Linked DNA regions of Stegostoma tigrinum. The protein of the gene in region 1 purifies or fractionates together with the protein of each later gene. This does not show direct contact. Links are inferred from orthologs where the notes say so. Each region holds a gene or a part of one and is shown on either strand. Other genes may lie near its edges.

The links.
Region 2: the proteins of mtmr9 (region 1) and atp5if1b purify together in Homo sapiens (affinity purification with mass spectrometry; 5 studies listed by BioGRID and IntAct, with this or other methods). This does not show direct contact. The link is inferred for Stegostoma tigrinum from reciprocal best matches to the Homo sapiens genes MTMR9 and ATP5IF1.

Annotation. Positions count from the first base shown.
Region 1 is NC_081357.1:78,591,669-78,607,595, reverse strand, and holds the start of mtmr9 (myotubularin-related protein 9), read right to left. Parts: upstream 8,579-15,927; 5' UTR 8,506-8,578; coding exon 8,324-8,505; intron 5,901-8,323; coding exon 5,792-5,900; intron 1,988-5,791; coding exon 1,862-1,987; intron 1-1,861. UniProt on the Homo sapiens protein: Acts as an adapter for myotubularin-related phosphatases. Increases lipid phosphatase MTMR6 catalytic activity, specifically towards phosphatidylinositol 3,5-bisphosphate and MTMR6 binding affinity for phosphorylated phosphatidylinositols.
Region 2 is NC_081377.1:35,733,010-35,749,308, forward strand, and holds atp5if1b (ATPase inhibitor B, mitochondrial), read left to right. Parts: upstream 1-8,669; 5' UTR 8,670-8,791; coding exon 8,792-8,866; intron 8,867-8,922; exon of another isoform or gene 8,923-8,937; coding exon of another isoform or gene 8,938-8,949; intron 8,950-13,704; coding exon 13,705-13,817; intron 13,818-15,682; coding exon 15,683-15,836; 3' UTR 15,837-15,947; downstream 15,948-16,299.

The DNA.
Region 1 (15,927 bases):
ATCATTCAGAATTATAGATAATTATTTGATACTGCCTCATCATGTTTATCCCACAAACTCACATGACTTCACATCTTAGTCCTTTAAATTTTATCTGCCACTAATGCATTTATTCCACCAACCTGTCTGTATCCTTTTGCAGTTCAATATTTCTCCAAATACTTCAAAGTTTAAGACAGCTCACAAATTTTGAAATTATGCCCTGTACACCAAGATCTAGGAGATTAATGTATATATCAGAGACCAAAAAACTCAAGTGATCCCTGGAGCACTTCATTTTAGCATTACTCTTGCCTAGAAACATCCGTCACCTCCCTCCTTTTATTTCCTGTATCAATGTTGCTTATGTTCCTTTTATTCCACAAGTTTAACTTCGCTCACAAGTCTGTTGTGTGGCACTTTATCAAAAGCCCTTTAGAAATTTGCGTAATCCACATCAACACTTCAAAAGAATTCCAGCAATTTAGTTAAACACAATTTTCCCTCCATGCCCAAGTGATTGGCAATTTCATCTCAAATTACTGTTGTGACAAGCATTCTTGCACTGATGTTAAACTGACTACTTCAGTTTTTGGGCCTATCTTTTGAATAAGGGTTAACATTTAGAATTCTCTGGTCCTCTGCCACCAGTCTAAGTATGACCAGAGAATTACGGTAAGCGTCTCTGCAATTTTCACACTTATTGCCCTCAGTCTCCTTAGATACAACACATCTGATCCTAGAGTTCATCAACTTCAACTACAGTCAATCCAATAACTTTCACTTTAATCAATTTTATCCTCTAAGAATCTGAATTACCTCCTCTTTTACCATGACCTGCTTAGCATCATCCTCTTTGCTAATGTTAGTTTCAAAGTATTCATTTAATACTTCAGCAGTGTCTCCTGTTTCCACGCATAAGACCCTATTTAATGTCTAATTTCCCAATGCTGTGTAAAAATATTTATTATGAACCATGGTCATGTCACTGTCTCCACATTCAAGTTACCTTTTTGGTCTCTAATTCATAGTCATAGAATCCCTACAGTGCAGATAGGGGCCATTCGGCCTCATTGAGAATAGCATCCTATTCAGAGCCAACTCCCCACCCTATCTCTGCAATCCCATATTTACCATGGCTGATCCACCAAGCCTACACATCCCTGGATGCTACAGGGAAATTTAGCATGGCCAATCCACCTAAACTGCACACCTTTGGACTAAAAACCAGTGCAGCTGTGAAAACCCAGGCAGACACAGGGAGAACGAGTATACTCCACACAGGCAAGTGCCAAGGCTGGAGTTGAGCCTGGGTCCCTGGTGCTGCGAAATACCAGTACTAACCATTGTGCCACTGTATTCCCCGTCCAGCTTAATGCCTCATTTCAATCATAAAATACTTCAGGATTTTACTCAGTAACGCTTGCTTGTACTCCTTTTATGTCTTCTTTTTGCTCTACTATTTTCCCTTCTAATTTCCCCCGTGTACTTCCAATGCTCCTCTAAGTTTCCTTCAAGACTTAATTCTTGGAATCTAATAAATGTTCTTTGTTCCTGATCCAACAATATATATTTTCTGATATTTGCATAAGTCTAGGTTTGAATTCAACTTCTGTTTCAGAAAGAATGCTCTCTCTCTTTTTAGGCTTGTTATATACTGAAAAAATAAACTGTCCTGAATGCAGAAGAAATTCTGTATCCTCAGCACCATTTACACTGAATTTAGCTCAGTTGTTATGGAAATGGTTGAAATTCCAGACTATGATCCTTTTTAGTTTCAAGATGCTTATATATTTGCCAAATATGGCCAAAACCCAAAACCATGCCAGCAACTGGAACAAACTCATGCACCATACTTGCAAATAATTAAAATTGGACTCACTGATGCAGAAAGCAAAGTAAACTCATGCTCGGGAAGGAAGGAGTGCCATCCATCTTCCAAAACCTCAAACATAGGTCGATAAAAGAAGGGATACATCAATGTGGTAGAATCCAAAGTAGATAATGTCTGAACAAGGAGAAAACAAATAAAGCATTATCACTTCCAAGATTACTCAGTCCCATTATCACCGCAAACTTACAGGCCAAGCTATTTTTAAAAGGAAGTCTTCAACTTCATTTGCCATAAAAAGCATCAAATCCTCCTGTTGTCTTGTGGTGTCAGCAGCTATCATTATCATACAGAAAATGCACCAACGTTCTGCATGCACCCAGACACAGGATAACCATGAGAAAAACAATCTGGCAGATTTCTTACGTTGAACACAAGCCATTTGCAGCATCCAAAGCCTCAGATGGGACACAGTGGGAAATTCAATGTCTCATCAGAAGGTGTGCACCTCAAACCTTGCAGCTTTTTCAGTACTGCAGTACCAGTATGAGTCTGAGCCTAAGTCCTTAAATGTTATGCAATGCCACAACATTGTGTGACACTATTGAAATGTTCTCCCAACCAAGCAAGACTGTTAAAATAAAACAAAAATTTCTGCTGATGGTTCAATAACCAAAGCTACTCTGGTGATCTGCATTGGTAAGCTCTTAAAAATTATGGCAAAACCAAATTCTTTTGAGGTTCAAGTGGAGGCAATATAAATGAAATGAAGTTCACCAATATTAAGCAGATTACCTGCTTGAGTATAAATATCTTAAAAAATTCATGAAACCTATTTAATCCTATGTGCTCAATAAAGCACGTCATAACTTCTGGAGTGTCATGTTGGATTCACCATGCATCGGTTAGTTGTTTGTATCACTGTCTTCTTTCTTTATGAACAGCAACAACAAGTTCAAATGAATAGGAAATTTACTCACAAGAAACATGATCACAAAGCCTAATGAACTTTCCACAGTGAGCACGTATCTTCCAAACCTCAATTTAGGAAAAAGTAAATTAGGACACTTAATTACGTTACAAGAAAGCACTAACAATGAAGGCTAATTGCACACCAGCTAAAAACTAGAGACCAAACTGGTTAAGACTTTACAGTAGACTTGGGATGCTGATATTAAAATCCATACAGACTTTGAAACTGTCTCATCAAATGAAGTAAGCAAATCCTTGCACCAAACCGGAAATTCTTGATGCATGAACTAATCTTTAAAGGACTTAGCACAAGCTCTCAAAGTAATTCCACCTGCTGGTGATCTATTCTGAAAATTGGGCAGACAATATACCTAGAGATAGCAGGAACTGATGCTGGAGAATCTGAGATAATAGGTGTAGATTTGGATGCACAGAGAAGACCAAGCAGCAGAGGAGCAGGAAAGCTGACATTTTGGGTTTGGACCCTTCTTCAGAAATATTTCTGAAGGGTCCAGACTCGAAACGTCAGCTTTCCTGCTCCTCTGACACTGCTCGGCCTGCTGTCTTCATCCAGCTCTACACCTTGTTATCTGAGGCAATATATCTATCCTGATTTAATCAAGTCGCAGAAGTATTTAATATTGAAAGAAAGCAATCTATATTAATGGTCCATTATGGTTGTCAATTAGTACAGCCATCCCTTTAAATGGCCTAAGGTCCTTTCCCTCTCAGCTTCAATCAACATATGGAAGCAATATTGATTTCTTTCCTAAAGTGAACGAGCAGAAATTCATAATGTACCTTGCATGGATTCCTGTCAGTGAGATAACTCAGCAGGAAATGTCCACCAAAATTGTAATTTATGATTATGGTCCTTTAGTAAATATGGGTAAATGCATGCTATATCCAATTTTATGACATCTATGCATGAAACAGACTCAGATTACTTTATATATAGCAAGGGTTGCAAGCAATTGTACAGCTGACAATAATTAAGTCAGAAGGATGCCCTCCACAATTATTCAATATTTTACATTTTTTTTGTGCCTCTCCAAATTTGTTCCAAAAGTCAAGCACCACGGCCAATATCATGGCCCCTTCTGTTAGTACATTATCCAAATTGATTAATTAAAAGTGATAATGGGAACTGCAGATGCTGGAGAATCCAAGATAATAAAACATGAGGCTGGATGAACACAGCAGGCTCAGCAGCATCTCAGGAGCACAAAAGCTGACGTTTCAGGCCTAGGCCTCTCTGATTAATTAAAAGGGTATTTTTAACTAAACACTCTTGGTTAAAAAGACAATTTTCTGTCTTTCCATTGATTCCTTATCATGTAGAGGAAGGCTATTTGGCGTATTGAAACTGCACCAGCCCTTTGGAGAAAATCTCAACCAGGCCCACCCCCATCCCACAATCCCTAAGGCGGTTTTTATCACGGCTAACCCACCTAACCTGCACATCCTTCAACACTTCAAGTAAATTTCCGGCATGGCCAATCCACCTAATTGTACATGGGGCGGTATGGTGGCTTGGCGAATAGCAATGCTGTCTCACAACACCAGAGACCCAGGTTCGATCAGTGAAAAGCCACTAATGAAGATTTTGTAATTTTGCTGTTTTTTTTTAAATTGTTAAAATAAGTTCGGGCGATTGTCTGTGCATGGTTTGCACATTCTCGCTGTGTCTGCGTGGGTTTCCTCCAGGTGCTTCGATTTCCTCCCACAGTCCAAAGATGTGCAAGTTACGTGGATTGGCCATGCTAAATTTCCCATAGTGTCCAGGGATGTGTAGATTAGGTGGGTTTATAGGGGCATAGGTCTGGGTGGGGTGCTCAGTGGTCGGTGTGGACTTGTTGGGGTGAAGAGCCTGTTTCCACACTGTAGTGATTCTATGACAACCTTTGGACTGTGGGGAGAAACCAGAGCACCCACAGAAAACTGATGCAGACCCAGAGAGAACATGAAAACTCCACACAGTTACCCAAGGCTGAAATTGAACATTGGTCCTTAACAACTGTCAGACAGCATTGCTAACCTATGAACCAATGTGCTGCCATTCTGTAGTTATTTTGTGATATTCTTGATCTAGATCTGCAGAAAGAACTTATTTTAACAATTAAAAAAACAGCAAAATTACGAAATCTTCATTAGTGGCTTTTCACTGATCAAGAACTTCCCTCTAAATTTAACACATGACAAATTTCAATTCTTCTCAAACATGTGAATGGCAAATGCAATTCTATTTCTATCATGGAAGTCACAGTTTCTTCAAAAATATCTCTAGAACCAACAGTTTACAACACACAGAAAAGTCAAGGCAGTAACTGCACAGGGACACTTGTCAATCAGATATACATCATTCGTTATTCCTCCATCATTGCTGGTTCAATGCACAGCAACTTCCTGTTTAATCACCATGGGAGTTCCTTCAGATCATACGGGCAACAATGATTCAGTATGCAGCCCACTGTTAAATCTCAAATGATATTAAGATTAGATAATGCATGATGGCCTTATAATGGCCAACAGGAAACAAAAACAAATCGAAAGGAATAGGATCATTCAATGAGCTGTATGTTAAGACTGGATAAATACTTCCAACACTACACATTAAAATCTTCACTGAAACAGTCAAATAACATTTGAGAAGTTGTTATTGTTTCACTGAATTTGGACCTAGGTTTAAAAGTCAAAATTATCTCAACAGGCTACAATAATTTGACAAAAAGAAGTTTCAGCATCTCAACACACTGTCTTGTGTTCAAAACAAACCTGGACTATCCGTAATACACTCATTATTACTCAGAAAGCCAAAGCACAGCTGAAAAAAAAATCAAAGCTACAGCAAGAGTGTACTTTTGAAGTTAGAACTAAAGCATATCATAACCAAAAAAGGAATATTCATTCTGCCTGATCCTCAGCACTAAATCAAATCTTTTGAGAAGCTCTATTCTAATAATAATTTATCATAACTTGGAAAACAACTGATCAATAAAAAAATCTCACCTCAATAGAGCTTGCGATATTTAAACATTCTTCCATGCCAGGAATATCCAAGTGAATGATACGCAGATCCTTACATTTAATTGTAATTGAACCCAATGTTCCCACAAACCTGGAAATAAAGAAATACAATCTACTTAATAACAGCGGTATTTATACGTCATTTTTTTAAAAATTCTGCGCTTTCGAGAAATGGCTTTATTAGCATTAACACTCCCTATTAGCCTGGAATTCATGACAGTGTCAGTCAGATTTATGTAGGGCTATTGTTCGTTGTACAATGTGGTGATCAAAAGGAGTTTGCAGTGTACAGTGGGATGGGTCCTAGTGCTGATTTCTCTTCAAGTATGGAATATTTCAGTCAGACGGTGCTACATACTGGAGACACAGAATTTAAGTTATTTTCATTGTGCAGTCCTGCAAAATGATGAATTAGGTTAAGAGTTAGATTTTCTTTTGGCAATAACTGAAAATAAAGAGAATTATGATTTATTTTTTCTTTCTCCAATGATTAGAGCATTGCCCAGAGCTGCTTTCATAATGGCATGGTTTTAAGTAAGACTCAGAAAGACTGGGATTTATGCATCTTAATTTGTTCTTTCACTGGGTAGATAAATTTACTGATCCAAGAAACAGAAACCTATGGGTCTGCCACCAAAGATGACTTGCTCAGCACCTGGGGAATAGATCTCAAGGCAACACTTATTGAAACGTACTTTTATAAATTTTAAAGTTAGTCATGCATAATGTGAAGGATTCTTCTAATTATTTTAAATTGCTGAGCCCTCCTTTGTGGACTACGTTGATACGTTATTGCTGTGTAACACTGACTGTTTAAAAAACAAAATAATCTAAGTGATATCTTATCACACAGCTCACGTGGTAAGTTTAAAAAAGTATAAGGTGCCTTGTCGCGAAACCATCTCCACTGAATACAACTCGTATTTGTCTTTTCTTTGAGTCTTCCATGCTATTACCCAATTTCTGCCTCAATGATCCTTGTAAACTCTTGGTCACTTGTACTGTCCCCTATACCTTTATACAATTATGCTTTCAAACTAATCTACGTGAATTGAAAGGAACGACTATGGATGCCAGAAATGAACCAAAAACAGAAATTACTGGAGAAACTCAGGTCTGGCAGCATCTGTGGAGAGAATGCAGAGTCAAGTTAAGTCCAGTGACCCTCTGTCAGTCAAGTGACAGTTTAACTTAACTTTAGGAAGTAAGGACTAAACCCGTATGGAAATAAAGTCAACTGAAATACAGCCCCCACTGCTGCTAGCAATCATGTAGATAAGTGGTGTTCACATCAACATGTGTCAGATGGCAAAAATCAAAAAGTAGATTAACTTATATTTTTATAAAACAGGATTTTCCCATTTCTACTTAACAAATTGCACCCAGAATCCTAACACTCTTAATCCCAATCGAGCGGTTTCAATCAGCTATTTACACCTTCTTACAGTGCTTTTACATTGGCAAGTATTTATTGAACAGCCTGAAGTTGACAATGGATTTAATTAACCTTGCAGTTGCAACTATAGCAATATTGTTTGATACAGACGGTCAATGATGATTGATAGACATAAAGGATGTGAATAAAGACACCTGCAGGCAAAGGCACACAAATCTCAACAAGTAATAATACGAGTACTGTAGTAAAATGGACTTTGAAAGAGACCCACACTTCACTGACAGATTGCAAACATTTGGCACAGTGGCTATCACGGTGGACCGAGGTTGGCTTCCACCGTTGGACGACTATTTGCGTGGAAGTGCGCATATTCTCCCCGTGTCTGCGCGGCTTCCTCCAAGTTTACCGGTTTCTTCCCTCAGTCCAAAGAAATGCAAGCTACGTAGATTGGCCATTCTAAATTGCCCACGGTGTCCAGGGACGTGCAGGCTATGTGGAGTAGGCAAGGGATAGGGGTTCTGGAAGAGTAATCTTCGGAGGTTCGATGCGGACTTGAGACGAATAGCCTGCTTCCATACTGTAGGGATTCTATGACTCCACCTCTTAAACATTTGTTTCATACAAAAGACAAATTCGTGCAAGTACAGTGTGTGAGCCGCAATTACAACATACAGTGACAGATTTCTGGTCAATACTCGAGAGACAGGACATTACAGTTGGAGAAAGAGACAACATCTCCACGGGAGCAGATAAAGCGAAACTGAATTTTAGTGATTAGTGTAACATAGTTGCGAAACCTGTAGGAAAACAAAAAACAAGGAAATGGGGCGATCTTCTAGACTGCTCCAAATAACTGGACATGGGTATGGTTGACTATAAGTCAATAAAACTGGAGCTTGGAAAGCCACAGCAGGTCTGACAGCATCCAATGAGCAGGGAAGTCAATCTGTTGAGCCGAAACCCTTCGTCGGAAATTTATAGTTTATTTCTAAGCTGTTAGAGTTTACGAGCTCGTGGCCAAATCTGTTGACACATAAACCGTACAAGTGAGGTTAGGTCCGGCTACTTGCCTGCTACACAGTCGCCGCTGCTCGAAGCCCGACTCCAGCCTCACTCACCTTTTCTCGATGGCGTCGATGTTGTTGTGCAGTAGCCAGAGCTCCTCACTGTTATCCTGGCGGGAGGAGAGGATCAAGTGGTGCCCGGTCAGACACAGGGTGCCCTCCACCCGCGGCAGGAAAGGCCGGTGAAGGACCACATTGTCCACCCGCGGAGTCTTAATCAGCTCCGCGAACTCCATCGTCCACCCTCCCGGAACCCGCAGTGTCCGGACCACAATAACCTGCGCACCAACCACTCGACGGAAGACAGGTCCCGCAGTGCATTGCCCCCGAAAGACAACTTCCCGAGTCGTGGTTCCGACCAGAATTCACTGATTGTTGACGTTTCCGTCTCAGAAAGGTTAGCAATGGATTTCGTTCGTTTGGCCAGAAGGCCTGAGATTGCTTCACGCCGAATTACAGTCAACATGCCAAACGCCTTCTAGATCACTCTCTCCTCCAACCTGACAGCCACCACGGCTCAAATAGATAAAAAAAACAAAGTTAGAGAAAATCGGCAGGTCCGGAAGCAGCTGAGAGGAATAGAATTCAGGTTTCCAGTCCAATGTGAATTGTTCAGAAGTGAAGGGAGAATCAGAAAAGTGATGGATTTTTAGCTGCAGAACAAGGTGAAAGGAACAAGTAGAAAAATAAAGGTTAGAAGGCAAGGGATTAGTCGTGAAAGAGCGAAAGGCAAAGAGTTCACAGCAAAATGTAACTCAGCTCTGCTGAACATCAAAACCAAGAAGACCGTATGCTTGGGGTAGATGCTTAGGAAAGTATCAGAGAATAGAGTTCACTGTTTGAAGTTCCTGAAATTCCTCAAGGCTATCAGGAAATGATGGGAGGTGCTCTTAACTGAAGATGGCATGAGAAGGCCATTCTGCCAGATCAAGACAGGTGGTCAGAAGTAGTAGATGAGGTCAGCAACCTAGGTGACCTGGGTCCAAGAGTTGCAGAGAGGTGGTGACATCAGGCTCCTCGGTCCCTTTGAGGAGAAAATTCTGATCTGCGTGGAGAAGAGCATAATTCTTCACTTGGTAATGGAGAGTCCACAATAGCCAATCCACCAAGTAAGCTTCATTGTGCTCTTCTGCACTTTACTAATCCCCCATTATAACCAACACATTTTATTCCTCTTTGTCAACTCTCTTCTGCACTTCTATTATGTAAGCGTGAGCAAACCCGGCAAACCTGCACAAAGAGACCAGTGCTGGAGATTGTCAGCTGCACTTCCACCTCTGCTGAGGAAGCTACTGAATTCCTAGAGGATGCATTGACAGAGGCTTTCACCTTCACTCTCTACCAGCTCAGAGACTTTCACTTTGGTGTTCTACACTTTCTAAATTAGACTTGGGAACATGATCTGTTGAGCACATCACTGACTGTAGCTGATTGACAAAGGAACACCTTTGTCTGTAATACTCAGAGGGCAACCAGAGACCAGGCAACTGTTGGACTGCAGGCAGAACAGGAGCTTGTTCCCAACCATTATTGACTTTTCCAAAAAGCAGACAGACACAGGAACATCAGGTAGGCGTGTCAGAAGCACTTTGTAATCTAATTGAAAGATGGAGGAGTCCACCAATTTAATCAGTACAGTGCTAGCACTTGGCTGTGTGCATCCAGCTGTCAGACAAGTTGACATGGTCAGATAAAGCACCATGGACACCCAACTCGAGCACTTTAAGTGTTTGAAAAATATGGGTATAGATTACATTCCGTTGTTATATCCATTGTTAGTCAGCATCATTTGCAAGGGGGATATGGAAAGTCATTCTCATTCCAAGTGGCTCTTCCTGTCAGGGAGACAGCTTGGTAATGGCAGATACCAAAGAGGTAGAAAGAGCCACACGTAACCCCTAGAAATTTCTCCTCAGGACACCTGAGAGGTGTCCAGCCTCTCCAGTTTGCCCACCTCTGATTCCAGTCTGCAGCTCTTCAACTTGAGGATGATTAGCATGCATCTTGACAGGATACTGTCAGCAGACCTGGGTCATCTTGGCCCAAAGGCACCAGGGAACAAGTGCCCGAATATTCAGAGCATCCACATACTATGCTTCCTCTGACCCCATTGCAGAGATCAGGACTGCATTTAAAAGAGTATGAAGAGGGGAAGAAAACAAATTACTGAGAACATAGTGGAGACACGGATGAAATATCATTATAACTAATCTTCCACTTTTGTAAATGCATATTAGTTTGCACTGCTAAAATATCTATATAATTTTCGTTGTCAGACCTGGTTATGTATCATCCGTGTGAAAGATCGGCAGCATCTTCTCCAATACCCCAAGAAAGAAAGGAGTTCCAATTGCCAAGTATTGCTCTTCACTCACAAGCAACTGACTGCTTGAAAGCGGATAGCCTCAGCAATCCTTAAAATGCGGCATTAAGGACGGCAGCCAAGGTGTTCCACTTGGACAATGTTAAGGCCAAATGCAATGTGCAAGAAATGCGCTTAGGTCTGCTGTGGACACACAATTCCATACTGAAAACCACCTTCTGGTGGCGAGTGTGGAATCAGTGGTGATTTTACACATTTCTATAGGGAAAGTTAGTGTGACGCATCAACTTAGCAAGGGAGGCCACTGACATTCAAGTCTGGCAGAGATGACGAAAATGACGGCAATGCCTGCAGATGTGGGATCTCTTTATATTCCCTTGTCTCCTTGGTGGATCTTCACCTGCTGTTTCTCCCTCTGGAACATGTGCTTTTAGCACTGGAACTTTCTTATCCTCCTGATGTAGTTGTCTCCTTTTATATTGTTTTTGGTTAGTGCATTGAGTATAGGATTTGGGACATTGTGTTGTGACTGTACAGAACATTGGTGAGGCCACTTTTAGAATACTGTGTTCAGTTCTGGTCTCCCTGCTTTAGGAAAGCTGTTGTTAAACTTGAAAGAGTTCAGAAAAGATTTACAAGGATGTTGCTGAAATTTGAGCATTTGAAATACAGGAAGAGGCTGAACAGGTTGGGCTTTTTTTCCTTTGAATGTTGAAGGGAAACATGTTCTCATTCCAAGTAGCTCTTCCTCTCAGGGAGGCAGGTTGGTGCCAGGAAGTACCAGGAGACAGAAGGAACCACACACACACACACACACAGACACACACACACACAGACACACACACACACAGACACACACACACACACACACACACACACACACACACACACACACACACACACACACACATACATACATACAGTCCCCAGAAGCTTCTTCTCAGGACACCTTAGAGGTGTCTGACCTCTCCAGTTTTCCCATCACTGATCCCAGTCTGCAGCTGTTTGACTTGCATGCATCTTGGCAGGATACTGTCAGCAGACCTGGGTCAGCTGGGCCCGAAGGCACCAAGCAACAATTGCCCAATCTTTCGAGCAACCAAATAACATGTCGAGCATTTAGAGGGTTAATAGCCAAGGTCATTTTCCCAAGGTAGTGGAGTCCAAATCAGGGGGCAAAGGTTTCAGGTGAGAGGGGAAAGATTTAAAAGGATTGGGGTGGGGGGGGACATTTTTACACTGATGGTGGTGTGTGTAATGGAATGAGCTGCTAGGAAAGGTGGTGGAAGTGATTACAATTACGGCATTTAAAAGGCATTTGGATTGGTGCGTGAATAGGAAGGGTGTAGACGTCTATGGGCTAAGACCTGGCAAATGCGACAAGATCATTTTAGAATACCTGGTTGGCACGGATAAGTTAGAATAAAGAGTCTGTTTCAATGCTGACTCTATGGCTCCAGATACTGCTTATTCATGTGAGATCAGAGAGCAGATAACCTGTCAGGAACCAAGGAAGATACCACAGTTTTATTGAAGGAACTCGAGTTTTCACATCTGCTACACAGTAACATGTTCAACTCCTTGACTGGTCAGCCCTCTCCACCATCACCATCTCACCTCAAACCCATACCCTCTACTTTTGGAGATAATGGGAACTGCAGATGCTGGAGAATTCCAAGACAATAAAATGTGAGGCTGGATGAACACAGCAGGCCAAGCAGCATCCCAGGAGCACAAAAGCTGACATTTCGGGCCTAGACCCTTCATCAGAGAGGGGGATGGGGAGAGGGAACTGGAATAAATAGGGAGAGAAGGGGAGGCGGACCGAAGATGGAGAGTAAAGAAGATAGGTGGAGAGAGTATAGGTGGGGAGGTAGGGAGGGGATAGGTCAGTCCAGGGAAGACGGACAGGTCAAGGAGGTGGGATGAGGTTAGTAGGTAGATGGGGGTGCGGCTTGGGGTAGGAGGAAGGGATGGGTGAGAGGAAGAACTGGTTAGGGAGGCAGAGACAGGTTGGACTGGTTTTGGGATGCAGTGGGTGGGGGGGAAGAGCTGGGCTGGTTGTGTGGTGCAGTGGGGGGAGGGGACGAACTGGGCTGGTTTAGGGATGCAGTAGGGGAAGGGGAGATTTTGAAACTGGTGAAGTCCACATTGATACCATTAGGCTGCAGGGTTCCCAGGCGGAATATGAGTTGCTGTTCCTGCAACCTTCGGGTGGCATCATTGTGGCAGTGCAGGAGGCCCATGATGGACATGTCATCTAGAGAATGGGAGGGGGAGTGGAAATGGTTTGCGACTGGGAGGTGCAGTTGTTTGTTGCGAACTGAGCGGAGGTGTTCTGCAAAGCGGTCTCCAAGCCTCCGCTTGGTTTCCCCAATGTAGAGGAAGCCGCACCGGGTACAGTGGATGCAGTATACCACATTGGCAGATGTGCAGGTGAACCTCTGCTTAATGTGGAATGTCATCTTGGGGCCTGGGATTGGGGTGAGGGAGGAGGTGTGGGGGCAAGTGTTGCATTTCCTGCGGTTGCAGGGGAAGGTGCCGGGTGTGGTGAGGTTGGAGGGCAGTGTGGAACGAACAAGGGAGTCACGGAGAGAGCGGTCTCTCCGGAAAGCAGACAGGGGTGGGGATGGAAAAATGTCTTGGGTGGTGGGGTCGGATTGTAAATGGCGAAAGTGTCGGAGGATGGTGCGTTGTATCCGGAGGTTGGTAGGGTGGTGTGTGAGAACGAGGGGGATCCTCTTAGGGCAGTTGTGGCGGGGGCGGGGTGTGAGGGATGTGTTGCGGGAAATACAGGAGACGTGATCAAGGGCGTTCTCGATCACTGTGGGGGGAAAGTTGCGGTCCTTGAAGAACTTGGACATCTGGGATGTGCGGGAGTGGAATGTCTTATCGTGGGAGCAGATGCGGCAGAGGCGGAGGAAGTGGGAATAGGGGATGGAATTTTTACAGGAGGGTGGGTGGGAGGAGGTGTATTCTAGGTAGCTGTGGGAGTCGGTGGGCTTGAAATGGACCTCAGTTACAAGCTGGTTGCCTGAGATGGAGACTGAGAGGTCCAGGAAGGTGAGGGATGTGCTGGAGATGGCCCAGGTGAACTGAAGGTTGGGGTGGAAGGTGTTGGTGAAGTGGATGAACTGTTCGAGCTCCTCTGGGGAGCAAGAGGTGGCGCCGATACAGTCATCAATGTACCGGAGGAAGAGGTGGGGTTTGGGGCCTGTGTAGGTGCGGAAGAGGGACTGTTCCACGTAACCTACAAAGAGGCAGGCATAGCTGGGGCCCATGCGGGTGCCCATGGCCACCCCCTTAGTCTGTAGGAAGTGGGAGGAGTCAAAAGAGAAGTTGTTGAGGGTGAGGACGAGTTCAGCTAGGCGGATGAGAGTGTCGGTGGAGGGGGACTGGTCGGGCCTGCGGGACAGGAAGAAGCGGAGGGCCTTGAGGCCATCTGCATGCGGAATGCAGGTGTATAGGGACTGGACGTCCATGGTGAATATGAGGTGTTGGGGGCCAGGGAATTGCAAGTCCTGGAGGAGTTGGAGGGCGTGGGTGGTGTCACGGACGTAGGTGGGGAGTTCCTGGACCAAAGGGGAGAAAATGGAGCCCAGATAGGTGGAGATGAGTTCGGTGGGGCAGGAGCAGGCTGAGACAATGGGTCGACCAGGGCAGGCAGGTTTGTGGATTTTGGGAAGGAGATAGAAATGGGCCGTGCGGGGTTGGGGAACAATGAGGTTGGAGGCTGTGGGTGGGAGGTCCCTGAGGTGATGAGGTCGTGAATGGTGTTGGAGATGATGGTTTGGTGCTCGGGTGTGGGGTCATGATCGAGGGGGCGGTAGGAGGTGGTGTCGGAGAGTTGGCGTCTGGCCTCGGCGATGTAGAGGTCAGTGCGCCATACTACCACTGCGCCACCCTTGTCTGGGGGTTTGATGGTGAGGTTGGGGTTGGAGCGGAGGGCTGCCCGTTCTGCGGGGGAGAGGTTGGAGTGGGTGAGAGGGGTGGAGAGGTTGAGGCGGTTAATGTCTCGACGGCAGTTGGAGATGAAGAGGTCGAGGGAGGGTAGGAGGCCTGGGGGTGGTGTCCAGGAGGAGGACTTGTGTTGGAAGCGGATGAAGGGGTCAGTGGAAGGAGGGTTAGGTTCCCGGTTGAAGAAGTAGGCATGGAGGCGAAGACGGCGGAAAAACTGCTCTATGTCCAACCGTGACTGGTATTCGTTGATGTGTGGTTGTAGGGGGACAAAGGTGAGCCCCTTACTAAGGACTAACCGTTCGTCCTCAGTCAGTGGGAGGTCTGGGGGGATGGTGAAGATGCGGCAGGGCTCAGTGTGGCTGTCTTCTCTGCGGTTGCTGGCTGTGGAGGTTGTGGGCGGAGCGATGAGGTCGTCGGCTGTGGCCGGGGTTCCGCCTAGCTGAACTCGTCCTCACCCTCAACAACTTCTCTTTTGACTCCTCCCACTTCCTACAGACTGAGGGGGTGGCCATGGGCACCCGCATGGGCCCCAGCTATGCCTGCCTCTTTGTCGGTTACGTGGAACAGTCCCTCTTCCGCACCTACACAGGCCCCAAACCCCACCTCTTCCTCCGGTACATTGATGACTGTATCGGCGCCGCCTCTTGCTCCCCAGAGGAGCTCGAACAGTTCATCCACTTCACCAACACCTTCCACCCCAACCTTCAGTTCACCTGGGCCATCTCCAGCACATCCCTCACCTTCCTGGACCTCTCAGTCTCCATCTCAGGCAACCAGCTTGTCACTGATGTCCATTTCAAGCCCACCGACTCCCACAGCTACCTAGAATACACCTCCTCCCACCCACCCTCCTGCAAAAATTCCATCCCCTATTCCCAATTCCTCCGCCTCCGCTGCATCTGCTCCCACGATAAGACATTCCACTCCCGCACATCCCAGATGTCCAAGTTCTTCAAGGACCGCAACTTTCCCCCCACAGTGATCGAGAACGCCCTTGATCACGTCTCCTGTATTTCCCGCAACACATCCCTCACACCCCGCCCCCGCCACAACCGCCCTAAGAGGATCCCCCTCGTTCTCACACACCACCCTACCAACCTCCGGATACAACGCATCATCCTCCGACACTTTCGCCATTTACAATCCGACCCCACCACCCAAGACATTTTTCCATCCCCACCCCTGTCTGCTTTCCGGAGAGACCACTCTCTCCGTGACTCCCTTGTTCGCTCCACACTGCCCTCCAACCCCACCACACCTGGCACCTTCCCCTGCAACCGCAGGAAATGCTACAATTGCCCCCACACCTCCTCCCTCACCCCTATCCCAGGCCCCAAGATGACATTCCACATTAAGCAGAGGTTCACCTGCACAT
Region 2 (16,299 bases), on another chromosome or scaffold:
ACAGTTTTGCACATTGTGAGAACATGTGGAAAGCGAAAATATGTAAAGAAGTCAGATACGATTCAGATTGGAAGTTATTTTCCTTGTGCCCTAAAGACACTGATTCTCTTGGGGATTTTTGATTCCAGGACTGCTGGTCACCCCAGCCTATAACACATCAAATTGGCCATTTTTCCATGTGTGTCTTAATGGTAACTGCTATTTAACCACGACACAAATAAGACCAACCCACTCTATTCAGCAATTCAGATCCAGAATGCTGGGGAGCCTCCTAAGCATCAGAAAACATTTTCACAAAATAAACTAATGAAAAGTTATTGGCTGGATACATTAAACTGGTTTGCCCCCAATACCCCTACCCCCACAGGTATGTTTACAGCAAAGCCTGGGACAAGATGTACTAAAGGGATCCATTAATGGGGGTCCAGGGCAGTAGAGGGCCAATTGTGCCTGGGTTAGAGTAAGACAACTGAGCTCAGAATGGGTTGTGGCTGGCGGGCTTGGGTCAGTGTGTGTTCACCGAGCTTAAGTTATTATGGGGTCACAAGTCACTGTATTTGGGTCATTGTGAGGGTGTTGGGCTAATTAGGGTGGGGTGCTGGACTTGGGTCAGTGTGGGAGTCTGACGGTCTGAGATAGGACTTTGTTTCTTGGTTCAGGGACTGGGTCCCAGACCAGGAGAAACCATTGGGCCTATGACGTTCCTCCCTGCATCTGGTCTAGAGTTGTCAAAATTTTCTACTGACCAAGTATTGAAACTCTCATTGACATGATTTAAGATTTGGTTCTAAAATGCTGAATACAATGTTTTAATGTCCATTTTCCACTGGACTTCTCCGTGACAAGAGATCGGTGACAGCCTAATGGTATTGTCACTGCACTGTTAATCCAGAAACCCAGGACTGGCTTTCAGGTATTACATTTATTTGTGTTCCAGTATGATCTTCTTCATTACACTGCATAGAGTTAGTCTGAAGTCTCAAGTATAGTTTGGATTTATTATGTAATTGTTAATCTTTAGACTATTGCTTGTTCACACTTTATGGGAATCTAAATAATTATAGTGTGGTTACACTGCAATAAATATGCATATACAAAGTTCTGCAATAGTTAAAGAGTCAAGGGAAAAGCCAAGCTTGTTTTTGATATTGGTCGAGAGAGGAATGCTGGTTAGGTTCCTGAGAAAACTCTGTGCTTTGTTTTGGATCATGCCAGATCCTTTTTCTGCATTCAACTTGTCAGAGACACAGAGCCTTAGAGTTTAACATCTTATCTAGTAGGCATTAAAGGCACTCTCCAATTCGGCATAAGTTAGGGAGAACCATCGTCTCCAAGTCAAACATTATCCTCAGGTCAATGTATATCACCATTGCTGGGTCACTAATCAAATGTTCCCTGTCTCACACCAGTGTACCATGGCCATCACAACATGAGCCAGAGGGGTTATCACAGAGCAACTAGGATTTTTTTTTTATTATTCATTCATGGGATGAGGTTGTCGATGCATTTATCACCTATCCCTATTTGCCCGGAGGGCAGTTTAGACCAGGGACCCAGGTTTGAATCCTACCACAGCAGACAGTGGAATTTGAAATCAATAAGAGAAAAGTCTGTAATTAAGAGTCTAATAATGACCATTACTAATTGTCAGGAAAAACCCACCTGGTTCATCACTGCCATCCTTACCTGGTCTAGCCTACATGTGACTCCAGTCTCGCAACAAAGTGGTTATTCTAAACTGCCCTCTGGGCAATTAGGGATAGGTGATAAATGCAGCGACAACCTCATCCCATGAATGAATAATAAAAAAAATCCTAGTTGCTCTATGATAACCCCTCTGGCTCATGTTGTGATGGCCATGGTACACTGGTGTGAGACAGGGAACACTTGATTAGTGACCCAGCAGTGGTGATATACATTGACCTGAGGATAATGTTTGACTTCGAGACAATGGTTCTCCCTAACTTATGCCAAATTGGAGAGTGCCTTTAATGCCTAATAGATAAGATGTTAAACTCTAAGGCGCTGTGTCTCTGACAAGTTGAATGCAGAAAAAGGATCTTGCATGATCCAAAAAAAGCACAGAGTTTTCACAGGAACCTAACCAACATTTCTCTCTTAACCAATATCAAAAACGAGCTTGGCTTTTCCCTTGACTCTTTAACTATTGCAGAACTTTGTATATGCATATTTATTGCAGTGTGACCACACTATAATTATTTAGATTCCCATAAAGTTTGAACAAGCAATAGTCTAAAGATTAACAATTACATAATAAATCCAAACTATACTTGAGACTTCAGACTAACTCTACTCAGTGTTATGAAAAATATCATTCTGGAACACAAATATATGTAATACCTGAAAGCCAGTGCTATAACCTCACTCTGAGGTCTAATTCCAAAGCATGCTTGATGTTCAGTCATTTCCTGCCTGACCATTAGATGGTGCTTTATACAGTTGAGGAAAAAGAACAAATCAGTATACTTGCAAACTGATCAGCAGCAACTTTAGATGGATTCACTTTTGATAATAATACAGGTTTCATACTTGAACAAGGAACATTCTCCCCTTTGGTCCAGGAACTCCCTACCTACGTCCGTGACACCACCCACGCCCTCCACCTCCTCCAGGACTTCCAATTCCCTGGCCCCCAACACCTCATTTTCACCATGGACGTCCAGTCCCTATACACCTGTATTCTGCATGCAGATGGCCTCAAGGCCCTCCGCTTCTTCCTGTCCGCAGGCCCGACCAGTCCCCCTCCACCGACACCCTCATCCGCCTAGCCGAACTCGTCCTCACCCTCAACAACTTCTCTTTTGACTCCTCCCACTTCCTACAGACTAAGGGGGTGGCCATGGGCACTCGCATGGGCCCCAGCTATGCCTGCCTCTTTGTAGGTTACGTGGAACAGTCCCTCTTCCGCACCTACACAGTCCCCAAACCCGACCTCTTCTTCCGCTACATTGATGACTGTATCGGCGCCGCCTCTTGCTCCCCAGAGGAGCTCGAACAGTTCATCCACTTCACCAACACCTTCCACCCCAACCTTCAGTTCACCTGGGCCATCTCCAGCACATCCCTCACCTTTCTGGACCTCTCAGTCTCCATCTCAGGCAACCAGCTTGTAAGTGATGTCCATTTCAAGCCCACCGACTCCCACAGCTACCTAGAATACACCTCCTCCCACCCACCCTCCTGCAAAAATTCCATCCCCTATTCCCAATTCCTCCGCCTCCGCCGCATCTGCTCCCACGATGAGGCATTCCACTCCAGCACATCCCAGATGTCCAAGTTCTTCAAGGACCACAACTTTCCCCCCACAGCGGTCGAGAACGCCCTTGACCGCGTCTCCCACATTTCCCGCAACACATCCCTCATACCCCGCCCCCGCCACAACCGCCCAAAGAGGATCCCCCTCGTTCTCACACACCACCCCACCAACCTCCGGATACAATGCATCATCCTCCTACACTTCCGCCATCTACAATCCGACCCCACCACCCAAGACATTTTTCCATCCCCACCCCTGTCTGCTTTCTGGAGAGACCACTCTCTCCGTGACTCCCTTGTTCGCTCCACACTGCCCTCCAACCCCACCACACCCGGCACCTTCCCCTGCAACCGCAGGAAATGCTACACTTGCCCCCACACCTCCTCCCTCACCCCTATCCCAGGCCCCAAGATGACTTTCCACATTAAGCAGAGGTTCACCTGCACATCTGCCAATGTGGTATACTGCATCCACTGTACCCGGTGTGGCTTCCTCTATATTGGGGAAACCAAGCGGAGGCTTGGGGACCGCTTTGCAGAACACCTCCGCTCGGTTCGCAATAAACAACAGCACCTCCCAGTCGCAAACCATTTCCACTCCCCCTCCCATTCTTTAGATGACATGTCAGTCATGGGTCTCCTGCAGTGCCACAATGATGCCACCCGATGGTTGCAGGAACAGCAACTCATATTCCACTTGGGAACCCTGCGGCCCAATGGTATCAATGTGGACTTCACCAGCTTCAAAATCTCCCCTTCCGCCACCGCATCCCAAAACCAGCCCAGTTCGTCCCCTCCCCCCACTGCACCACACAACCAGCCCAGCTCTTCCCCTCCACCCACTGCATCCCAAAACCAGTCCAGCCTGTCTCTGCCTCCCTAACCAGTTCTTCCTCTCACCCATCCCTTCCTCCCACCCCAAGCCGCACCTCCATCTCCTACCTACTATCCTCATCCCACCTCCTTGGCCTGTCCGTCTTCCCTGGACTGACCTATCCCCTCCCTACCTCCCCACCTATACTCTCCTCTCTACCTATCTTCTTTTCTCTCTATCTTCGGTCCACCTCCCCCTCTCTCCCTATTTATTCCAGAACCCTCACCCCATCCCCCTCTCTGATGAAGCGTCTAGGCCTGAAATGTCAGCTTTTGTGCTCCTGAGATGTTGCTGGGCCTGCTGTGTTCATCCAGCCTCACATTTTATTACCATATTTCACTTATCGGTTTAGTTTTTTTAAAATTTGCTATGTTATAGAAAGCATTTTCAATTTTTTGATTCAGTTGTAAAAACGTTGCACTAGATGCATGCAACCGACAATTCAGCAACTTAATTATGAATAGATGTACTCTACAATTATTTACCTAAGGTACTAGTCTTGAGCGCAACTGAATTGCAAACTTTCTAATTATGGCAAATGGGGTTGGGATTCAATTTCCTTCCTCATTTCCTGAAGATGCTGAAACATTCCGGTTTCTGGTTGAACTGGGAATGAAGACACAAATTAATTGTTGTTCATCCAATAATCAAGATTCTGAGATCAATATTTATTATTAAACTGGAAAGCTAGGGGAAGAAAGAAGGAAATGTAGTAAGTATACGTTCCTTCAGTCTCCAGGAACCAGAATGAGACTCAATTATAGAGTCAGCGGATCGTAAAGTTTTACAGGATGGAAACAGGCTGTTCGACCAATCGCATCTCTACTGGCTCCCAAAAGAGCTACCAGCTAGTCCCTTCTCCAGTCCTATTTCTGTAGCCCTCTAAATTAATCACTTTCTAGTGTATATCTAGCTCTCTTTTGAAACTTCCAATTGAATCCACCTCCACAACTTACCCAGGCAGCACTTTCCAAATCCTAACAACTCTCTCAGAGAAGACATTTCTCCTCATTTCACTCGTAGCTCTCTTGCTGACAGTCTTGAAATTGCGACCCCAAGTTACAAATAATAACTAGTGGAAACACAATATCGTTATTTACCGTGTCAACTCTTCATAATTTTGAATGCTTCAGTAAACTCACCTCTTAAATTTTGTTTCGCCAAGGAAAGTAAGGTCAATTTCTCTAATATTTCTTTGCACCTAATATCCCTCATTCCTGGTATCATTCTCATAAATCTCCATTGCTCTCTCTCTAGGGCTTCAATATGCTTCCTTAAATAAGGAACTGAACACAACACTCCAAATGTGGTCTGGCCAATGATTTGTAGAGGTGTAGCATCATTTCCTTGTTTATATACTCTGTGCATTGATTTATAAACCCAAGGGTTCTATAAGACTTCTAAACAACTGTTTCAAATTGCCTGGCCACCTCAGACAATTATGAAGTGCTTTGAGAGGCTAATCATGGCCCACGTTAACTCGAACCTCCCAGCCAGCCTCCTTCCCCAGCAATTTGTCTATGGACATAACAGCTCCACAGCAGACATCATTTCCCCAGCCCTACAGTCATCCATGGAACATCTGGATGACAAGTACACCTACGTCAGGCTCCTACTCATTGACTACAGCTCTGTCTTCAGCACCATCATCCCTATCAGACTAATCTCAAAACTCCGAGACCTAGATCTCGGATCCTCCTTCTGAAACTGGATCCTCAGCTTTCTGACCCACAGACCACAATCAGTGAAGATAGACAACAGCGTCTCCTCCACCATAATCCTCAACACTGGTGCACTGCAAGGATGCACTTAGTCCCCTACTGTACTCCCTGTACAGACTGTAGACAAATTCTGTACGAATGCCATCTACAAGCTTACTGACAACACCACTGTGGTAGGACGGATATCAAGCAACAATGAGTCAGAATACAGGGAAGAGAAAGAGTGCTTGGTGTCGTGGCACAATGATAACAATCTCTCTCTCAATGTCAGCAAAACAAAATAACTGACCATTGACTTCAGGAAGAAAGGAGGAGAACACACCCTACCACATAAACGGAACTGAGGTAGAGAGGGTCAAGAGCATCAAGTTCCTAGAAGTGACAATAACTGACAATCTGTCCTGGACTTCCCACATTGGTGCAACTGTCAAGAAAGCACAACAGCGCCTCTTCTTCCTCAGGCGGCTCAGGAAATTTGCCATGTCCATAAGGCCCTTCACCAACTTCTACAGATGCACCAATGAAAGCGAACTGTCCGGGTGCATAATGGCCTGGCGTGGCAACTGATCTGTCCAGGACTATAAGAAACTACAGAAAGTTGTGTGCACAGCCCAGACCGTCACAAAAATCAACTTCCCATCCACAGACTCCATTTACACATCGCATTGCTGGGGAAAGGCTGCCAACATCATCAAAGGGCCCTCCCAACCCGCTAATGCTCTCCTACAATCTCTTCCATCAGCCAGAAGATACAGAAGCTTGAACACATGCACCAATAGGTTCAAGAACAGATTCTTCCCAGCTGTTATTAAACTGATGAATGGACCTCTCCAAATTAAAATAAAGCAGATCTTGCTAAGGATGATCTTGCTTTATGTACCTCCTATGCAGCAGTGACTTTATATGCCTAGCTTTGTCTAAGCAGCCTGTATGTCCTTGTTTGCTATGATCTCTTTGTACTGCTTGTAAAACAAAGCTTTTCACTGTAGCTAAGCACAAGCAACAACAATGAATCAAATTAATTAAGACTTGAACCCTGAGGTCCCTCTGTTCCAGTAATTCCCTCAAAATTGTACCATTGAACTGTATTTTCTGTCCAGTTTTCTTCCACCAAAATGCATTGAAATTCATCTACCAGGTGTCTGCCCATTTGGCCAACTTGTCAATGTCCCTCTGAAGTTGCTCAACATTACCCCCACAATTCACTACTTTCCCTAGTTTAGTATCATCTGCAAATTTAGAGATTTTGCCCTCAACACCCATCTCCAAATTATTTATCTAGATCAGAAAAAAGCAAGGGTCCAATCAATGACCCTTTGGGAAACACCATTCTCAACTTGTCTCCAATGTGAAAAATGCCCATCTATAGTTACCCTCTGTTTCCAATCACCCATCAATCCCAAACATGTCTAATTTGCTAACCCCAACCTGCCATGTGTCATCATATCAATTGCTTTCTGAAAGTCCAAATAGACATCATCCACAGCACTACACTTATCCATTGTCTGTATCACCTTTTTAGAAAACTCAGTTTAAATATGTCAGACATGACCTAACCTTGACAAAACCATGCTGACTGTCTTGTATTGACTTTTTTTTTCTAAGTGTATACCAACCTTATCCTGTATTATGGCTTCCATCAGTTTTCCCACTGTAATGTCAAACTGATACGACTGTCATTTCCCGGGTATTAAGATATTAGTGGTCACGGGTATTTTCTTTCAAGTTAACTCATTTCCTCAGTGTTGGAAACAAAGTTGTTTAAGGGTCAACCAGACCAGCTCCAGAGTTGATTGAGAGCAGGGTTGCATTATTGGTATTTAAGATGTGTGTTCCTAGGTGTCTTATATTGATGTGGAAGTGTCCCAACCTCTGGGCCAGAAGGTCTGGCTTCAAGTCCCACCTATTCTGGAGACATGTTGTGTCATAACATGTCCAAACAAGTTGATATTCAAAAAAAGTGTCTCATGGATACTGTTTGTAATTTGATGAGAAGTGTAGTTATTTCTTAAAAGAACTCACATCTCGATGGGCAGTTTTGTTATTGGGTGATTAGTTGATTTGTTAATTGACTTTCCAGTTTTTGTTAGCTTAGAAATCTTTTGCTTTCCTTTTGATTGCACTTCAACCGCACTCTCCTGATAAATCGCCAAACCATACAAAATAGGAACATGAGTAGGCAGTTCAGTTCTTGGAGCCTTTTCTGCTATTCAGTAGGATCATGGCTGCTTTAACACTCTGCATGTTCACTTTCCTGTCCTTTCCCACTAACACTCGATTCCCCTACTGATCAAGAATCCATATATCTCAGCCTTAAAGTAGACGGAAAGATTCTGTCCCTACATCTCTCTGCAGCAAGGATTTCCAAAGACTTAGAATCCTCTGAGAGAAGACATTCCTTCTCATCTCAGTCTTAAATTGGCATCCTCCTGTTCTGAGACTATGCTCTCTGGTCCCACACACTCCCTGTCAGCATTTATTCTATCAAGCCCCTTAAGAACCCTGCATGGGATATTAAGAACTGCCTATGCTGGAGTCAGAGATAACACAGTGTGGAGTTGGAGGAACACTGCGCTGCATCAAAGGAGCAGGATAGCTGACGTTTCAGGTCTGGACCCTTCTTCACAAATGGGGCGGGGCCCACCTTCTAATTGACAGAAGGCATGATCACGAGGGTCTAGGGGCGGGGACTACTTTCTGATTGACGGCGGACCAGGTCACGTGGGTCTAGGGGCGGGCCCAGCTCCTGATGTAGAGTGTGCATCATCACGTGGGTCTAAGGACGGGGACGACATCTGATTGAAGGTGGACCCTGTCACGTGGGTCTAAGGCGCGTGGCCCACCTGATTGACAGGGCCTGGGGTCACGTGGTGCGGGCGGCTGGTTCGGGTACCGTTCGGTCATTGCAAGGGTGGAGACGATGGCGCGTCTGCTGCTGTTTCGGAGCCAGTTCCTCGTCGTTCGGCAGTTGCGGGCTTACAGCGACGGTAGCCAGGTATCAGACCAGGATAGGGCAGGGCTGTGTTTGGCCTGGGAAGGGGAGGAGCGGAGTGATAGCTTGACATCATGTCGGGTCCGGTGAGTGAGTGATGAGGCAGGCCCAGGCGGGGGACGGGGGTGAAGAGATACCCCGTCCATCTGCTTCACCCCACTGATGTCCCACTGCACACTCCTATCCTCCACCTTTTCCCACCCAAAACAACCCAAGGTCATTGTACTGGGTGGAGCTGCCCTTCCCAGGCCCAGTTACCGGAGCCTGGGCCTTGATTGGGGCTGGGGCTGGGGTTGTGTCTGGGCCGTGAGGTGAGCCCTGCTGGAAGGATGGTGTTCCAGAGCTGTATGCAAGGCTAAAGCTCGGGGTGGGGGAATTAAATCTCATTCTGCGGTTTTGAGGAAGGGTCACCGCACCCGAAACACTGACTCAGTTTTTTTCCTCCACAGATGCTGCCAGACCTGCTGGGCTTTTCCAGCAATTTCTGTTTTTGTTCCTCACTCTGCAGTGGTTTGTCTTAACAGCAGCAGCACCCGCCAGAAGAATTCTTGCTCCCTTTGTTTTGTTCACTGTTGTTACGTTAACCAGTGTTAGTGAAAGGATTAAACAACTTAGCCTGTGATTTTAATAATTTCCATGTTTTAAGTTTGAGCTTTCAATTGTTTTAGATTGTTAGCAGGATATGGGTGACATTGGCTAAATGCTGTTTGTGAAGAACATGGACATTTGGGATGTGTGGGAGTGGAATGCCTCATCCTGGGAGTGGATGTGGAGGAATTGGGAATAGGGGATGGAATTTTTGTAGGAGGGTGGGTGGGAGGAGGTGTATTCTAGGTAGCTGTGGGAGTCGGTGGGCTTGAAATGGACATCAGTTTCTAGCTGGTTGCCTGAGATGGAGACTGAGAGGTCCAGGAAGGTGAGGGATGTGTTGGAGATGGCCCAGGTGAACTTGAGGTTGGGGTGGAAGGTGTTGGTGAAGTGGATGAACTGTTCGAGCTCCTCTGGGGAGCAAGAGGTGGTGCTGATACAGTCATCAATGTAACGGAGGAAGAGGTGGGGTTTGGGGCCAGTGCAGGTGCGGAAGCGGGACTGTTCCACGTAACCTACAAAGAGGCAGGCATAGCTTGGGCCCATTCAGGTACCCATGGCCACCCCCTTTGTAGGAAGTGGGAGGAATCGAAAGGGAAGTTGTTGAGGCTGAAGACGAGTTCGGCTAGGCGGATGAGGGTGTCGGTGGAGGGGGATTGGTCGGGCCTGCGGGACAGGAAGAAGCGGAGGGCCTTGAGGCCATCTGCATGAGGAATACAGGTGTATAGGTACTGGACGTCCATGGACCGCAACTTTCCCCCTGCAGTGGTCGAGAACGCCTTTGACCGCATGTCCCACGTTTTCCGCAACACATCCCTCACACCCCGCCCCTGCCACAAGCGCCCCCAGAGGGTCCCCCTCGTTCTCTCATACCACCCCACCAACCTCTGGATACAATGTATCATCCTCCGACACTTCTGCCATCTCCAATCCAACCCCACCACCCAAGCTATTTTACCATCCCCACCCTTGTCTACCTTCCGGAGAGACCACACTCTCCGCTACTCCCTTGTTCGCTCCACACTCCCCTCCAACCCCACCACACCCGGCACCTTCCCCTGCAACCGCAGGAAGTGCTACACTTGCCCCCACACCACCTCCCTCACCCCACCTCCCTCACCCCTATCCCAGGCCCCAAGATGACCTTCCATATCAAGCAGATGTTCACCTTCACGTCTGCCCAAGTGGTATATTGTATCCATCACACCCAGTGTGGCTTCCTCTACGTTGGGGAAACCAAGTGGAGGCTTGGGGTCTGCTTTGCAGAACACCTCCGCTCGGTTCGCAACAAACAACTGCACCTCCCAGTCGCGAACCATTTCAACTCCCCCCTCCCGTTCCTCAGACGACATGCCCATCATGGGCCTCCTGCAGTGCCACAATGATATCACCCAAAGGTTGCAGGAACAACGACTCATATTCCGCTTGGGAACCCTGCAGCCCAATGGTATCAATGTGGACTTCACAAGCTTCAAAATCTCTTCTCTCCCCCCCCCCCCCCCCCCCCCCCCCAACTGCATCCCAAAACCAGCTCAGTTCTTCCCCTCCCCCATCACAAAACCAGCCCAGCTCGTCCCCCTTCTCTTCCCCCCCCCCCCCCACTACATCCCAAAACCAGCCCAGCCTGTCTCTGCTTCCCTAACCTGTTCTTCCTCTCACCCATCCCTTCCTCCCAACTCGAGCCGCACCTCCATTTCCTACCTATCACTTCATCCCGCCTCCTTGACCTGTCCATCTTCCCTGGACTGACCTATCCCCTCCCTACCTCCTCGCTATACTCTCCTCTCTACCTATCTTCTTTTCTCTCCATCTTCGGTCCGCCTCCCCTTCTCTCCCTATTTATTCCAGTTCCCTCTCCCCATCCCCCTCTCTGATGAAGGGTCTAGGCCCGAAACGTCAGCTTTTGTGCTCCTGAGATGCTGCTTGGCCTGCTGTATTCATCCAGCTCCTCACTTTATCTTGGATCCTCCAGCATCTGCAGTTACCATTATCACTAAACAAGGGTAGTGTGTAGTTTGTAGTGTAATGTGCAGATCATGCATCTGTCTTTGGCCCTTTGGGTAGTAGATGTCATGATTTGGAAGCTGCATCTAGAAAACACCAATGGTAGAGGGGTCAATACGTTGGAGTTGGAGGAACATAACAGTCAGGAGCAGGAAAGTTGGTGTTTTTGGGTTTACACCCTTTGTCAGAAGTGGGAAAGTAGTGGGGCTGGGGGAAGGTAAGTGGAATGGTGATAGGTGGATGCAGGTAGGGGGTTGTTGAGATGTGTCATGGGAAGGGTGGAGCGAATGTGTGAGAAAGAAGATTGATGGTTTGTGTCAGGTCAAGGAGGTGGGCATGAGAGGGAGCGATGGACATTGGATGAGGCTGGGGCTGGGGAGATTGAAATCAGTTTCACAATGAGGCCATTGAGCGGTAAGCTGCAAAAGTGGAATTTGAGGTGGCGTTCCTGTAGTTTTATGTGCAGTGTAATTGTGACACAAGAGGGTGGGTGGGGAGCAGTGGTAGTTAAAATGGTCAGCAACTGGAAGGTGCTGTTGATTATAGTGTATGGAGCATGGATGCTCTGTGAATCAGTCAGTAAGTCTGTACTTGGTCTCCTCTACGGTGAGATCAAGCACAGACCATATTGAAAACAATGGATACAGTGGACCAGGTTGGGGAATGTAGAAGTGAATTTCTGGATTTGGAAAGATTGTTTGGGGCCTTGAATGGTGGTGAGAGGGGAGGTGTACAAGCAGGTGTAACACTTCCCTGCGGTTAAAGGGAAAGGTGCGGGGGGTGTGGTGGGCTCGGTGGGAAGTGTGGAGTGGAAGAGGGAGTCAGAGTGACCAGTACCTGTGGAAGGCAGGTGTGGGTGGGGAAGGAAATGTCTCTTTGCAGTCAGATCGCAGGTGGCAAAAGTGGCGGCGGATAATGTGCTGGATGTGGAGGTTGGTTGGTTGGGTGCTCTGTGATGACCAGGGAACTTGGCCTTTTTTTGGGGAGAAGGGGTTTTAAGGGCAGAACTGCAGGAAATGCAAGCAATGTTGTTGTTGGTATTATGAATCACTGGAGGGATAAGTTATGGTCCTTGAAGTAGCGGAGCATCTGGAATGTTCGGGAATGGAACACTCTGAGATGATCCAGGTGAGGTTGGCGTGAAAGGTGTTAGTAAAGTTGATGGATTGTTCATGCCCCTCATGGGAGCATGAGGCAATACCAATACAGTCTTCAGTGTAGCGGAGGAAGAGGTGAGGGATGATTCCAGTGAAATTACAGAAGAGGGTCTGTTCCACGAATCCTACAAAGAGCCCGGCATAGCTTGGACCCAAGTGGGTAGTGGGATGCCTGTCAAGTAAATGGCTTTGTCCTGGATTGTGACTTTCAACAGGTTGATTTGAATCCCTTGGTCTTCACCCACTAAAACTGTCAATGGTCTTTTACAATTTGACCAAAATGTATTTTCTGAAGGAGCCTGATTTGGCAACTTTCTATTACGTTGTTTGCAGCTGTTAGATTTTCATACCTGCAGTCAAAAATCAAATTGTAACTGCTGTTTCATATTATCCTGTCACTGTCATTTGTCGTATAGGCTGCAACTGACTTAGCAACGAAAACAGAAATTGCTGGGACAACTCAGCAGGTCTGACTGCATCTGTGGAGAGAAATCAGTCAGTGATTCAGGTCAAGTGACTCTTGCTCAACTTGACCTGAAATGTTTACTCTGATTTCTCTCCACAGATGCTGCCAGACCTATCTTTTCCAGAAATTTGTTATTGATTGATTTACAGCATCCACACTATTTGTTTTGAGTTATTTAGCACACTTGTGCTGATAAAATAGAAGATATAATTTGTTTTAGGATCCTGGAGTAACTTGACATCTAACACCATCATGGTGCTAGATAGTTTGGAGCCAAAGGATGTTGTCTCTTGTGGGGCAGATGAAATCTAGGGAGCATAGGTTAAGAAGAAAGTATTCTTCTGAAAGATACACTCTTCTCAATGTGTTAGTGTGGAATTCTCCAGTGGAGGCTAGTCTTTAAATTCGTTGAAGGCTGTGTTAGATTTTTCACATACAAGGGAATTGAGTTATGTGGGCTGACCATAAAGTAGGCCTGAAGCCATAACCAGATAAGCCATTATCTCATTGCTGAGATGTTGAGCGGTTCCAATTTGTATATAAAACCAGATATTTCCTTCCAAGGGAACATAGAAAATACACATACAGCATTGCCTAACCTGAAGGTGGACATTACTGTGTTTCAGCTGGGTGAGCTTGGCCAGGGTGCTGGAAAAGGAGGTGGTGGTGGAGGGAGCATAAGAGAAGCTGGAGGTGCATTCGGCAGAAGGGAGGCAGCAATGGAGGAAAAATACTTCAGGTAACTACTTCTACGTTGTTGATTTTTGTCACTTGTGACCTGTTTTATCCCCTCTCCATCCTGCCTTGATTTAACTATACAGCCACCCAATATGTATAGAATCCTGATGTGATGATTTAGGATCTGTTGAATTGAGAGGAGGCGGCTGTCTGAAATTGACAAATCTCTGCAACTCTCTGTACACGATTTTAAACAATCTGTTTTGCTGCCAAGGGTAGTCTACTCTTTGGCTTTGTGTAAAGTTTCAATTTAATGGGGTAAAGCGTGTTTCCAATGTATTAAACTCAGCCTGTTGCTTCTGTCATGATGGCGGCCAATTGATGCAATATGTCACACTTTTACATGCCATGCATCATGAAATGTTTGTTTGAAAGTCCGTATAATCCACAGTACCAGTTTGTTTTATCTATCCTGCTAGTGTAAAATATGGCCTCCCTTCTACAGTTTGGATGGGGGGTGTTTTAAAACACATGACTTCCTTCAGACTCAGATGGGGCCTAAATATTCTTGAATAGTTGAGGCTTGTCAGTCATATTTACATTGTAAGTTCTGCATTTCGTATAGATATACCTGAAAAAGTTTGTTCACTCATGCTTGGTAAGAATTCTGAAAACCAGTTCTAAAAACTCAAAAACTGTTTATGTTCTGTGATGCAGAAACTGCTTTGGCCTCTGTTTATTTATGGTGTGTGTGCGCGCACCCGCCCAGTGCCAACCCCCTGGCGGGGGGGGGGGGGGTGGTGGCCTTGCACCGGTGCGGTCCTTGGAGTGTACGGGTACCCACGGTGCTGCTGGAATGACACTTCCAGGGTTTTCTTCCAGGAACAGATGGCAATTAGATTTAGGAAAGGTGAGTTGCTTGGAGGGAAATTTGCAGTTGATGGTGTACCTATGCATCCACTGCCTTTGTCCTTCTAGGTGGTAGGATTTGTTTGGTGGGGGCTGTATGATAAACCTTGGTGAATTACTATGGTGCATCTTGTAGATGGTCCTGACTGCTAGTGTTGACGGTAGAGGGAGCAAATCTTGAAGGTGATAGAGGGGTGCTGGTGAAGAGGGATGTGTTGTCTTGGATGATGTCAAATTTCTTGAATGTTATTGGAGCTGATCATATTTGCATTTCAGGAAGTGAGTTCATGCCTGAGTTACCAGCGTCTGACTTAATCTTGTGGCCAAGGTATTTACTTGGCCAATTTCTGGTGAATGGTAACCGCCTAGATATTGATATTGGAGGAAAAATACAGTAAATGAAAACATGCACATCAGTTGCTTTCACTTTATCTATTCCAAAAAAGATTACCAATACATTGAAACCCAAAATTTCCACCTTTAATTTGGCAGTATCAATTTAGCACAGGACTCAACTTAGCTCAGGCTGTTTATGCCAACGGTCTTGAAACAAGCAGTTAGACTAAATCCCAGACTTCCATAATGCACATTGGATAAATACTTGATAGTTACAACTGGAACCAATAACATGTCTGAATCACACTGGCATAATATTAATCCTGAGCACGCAGGTAGTGGTCAATCTTAGCTCCTATCTAAATTTTGCATGAATGGGTTTGATGAATTGAGAGAAGCTTTTCCAATTTTTTTGCTCACATCACTGGGTCTCCAAGATATTGAAGTTTCCTGCTGGTTCTCAATAACACTTTCTTTATAATTATTTTGCTCAATGCAACACTTGCGGTTCGTGACTGCCCAGTTGCTCAGGTCTATTGCTGAGAAGAAATGTTGCCCTTTGCCTTTTTAAATGTACACCTTCTTGGCTATGGCTTGAGAAAAGCAATCTCTGATGCATGATATTTAGCAAACTGCTTTTTCAATACCTGCCAGGCTTCTGAGGTTGATTCTGTTTTGCAGGGAAAAGGAAATGGAACAGATTGAAAATCTGAGGAAACATCATCAAGAGGAGATTAACCATCATGAGCAGGAAATACAGCGTTTACAGAATGAGATTAAACGCCGCAAGAATCAGATCAAGAAGCTGAAGCATGATGACTATGACAGTGACTAGATTTGTAGTATTTGTGTTGCTTAGATTATCTCAATCATAGCATTTGTTGATGGTGGACTCATAATTGTGCTTGAATGTAAATTGTTAAATAAAAATACACTATGTTCACTATCTCAAACTTCGTACTTTGTAGACAACTTATGCACACGGCCACAGCGCTTTACATGTTTTTTGATTGTCTAACTGAGTCTTTTTCCTCTGGATCGGGAATCCAAAATTAGAGGGCATAGGCTTAATGTAAAAGGAGAGATTTTTAAAAGGGATCTGAGGGGCAAGTTTTCCATACACAGGGTGCTGCCAATGTGGAATGAATTACCAGAGGAAGTGGTACAGGTGGGTACAATGACATCTTTTAAAAGACATTTGGACAGGTTTCAAGGAATATGGGACTAGTTCATTCTGGGGAAACATGGTTGGCATGAATGAGTTGGGGCAGGGGGCCTGTTTCCATGCTGTATAACTA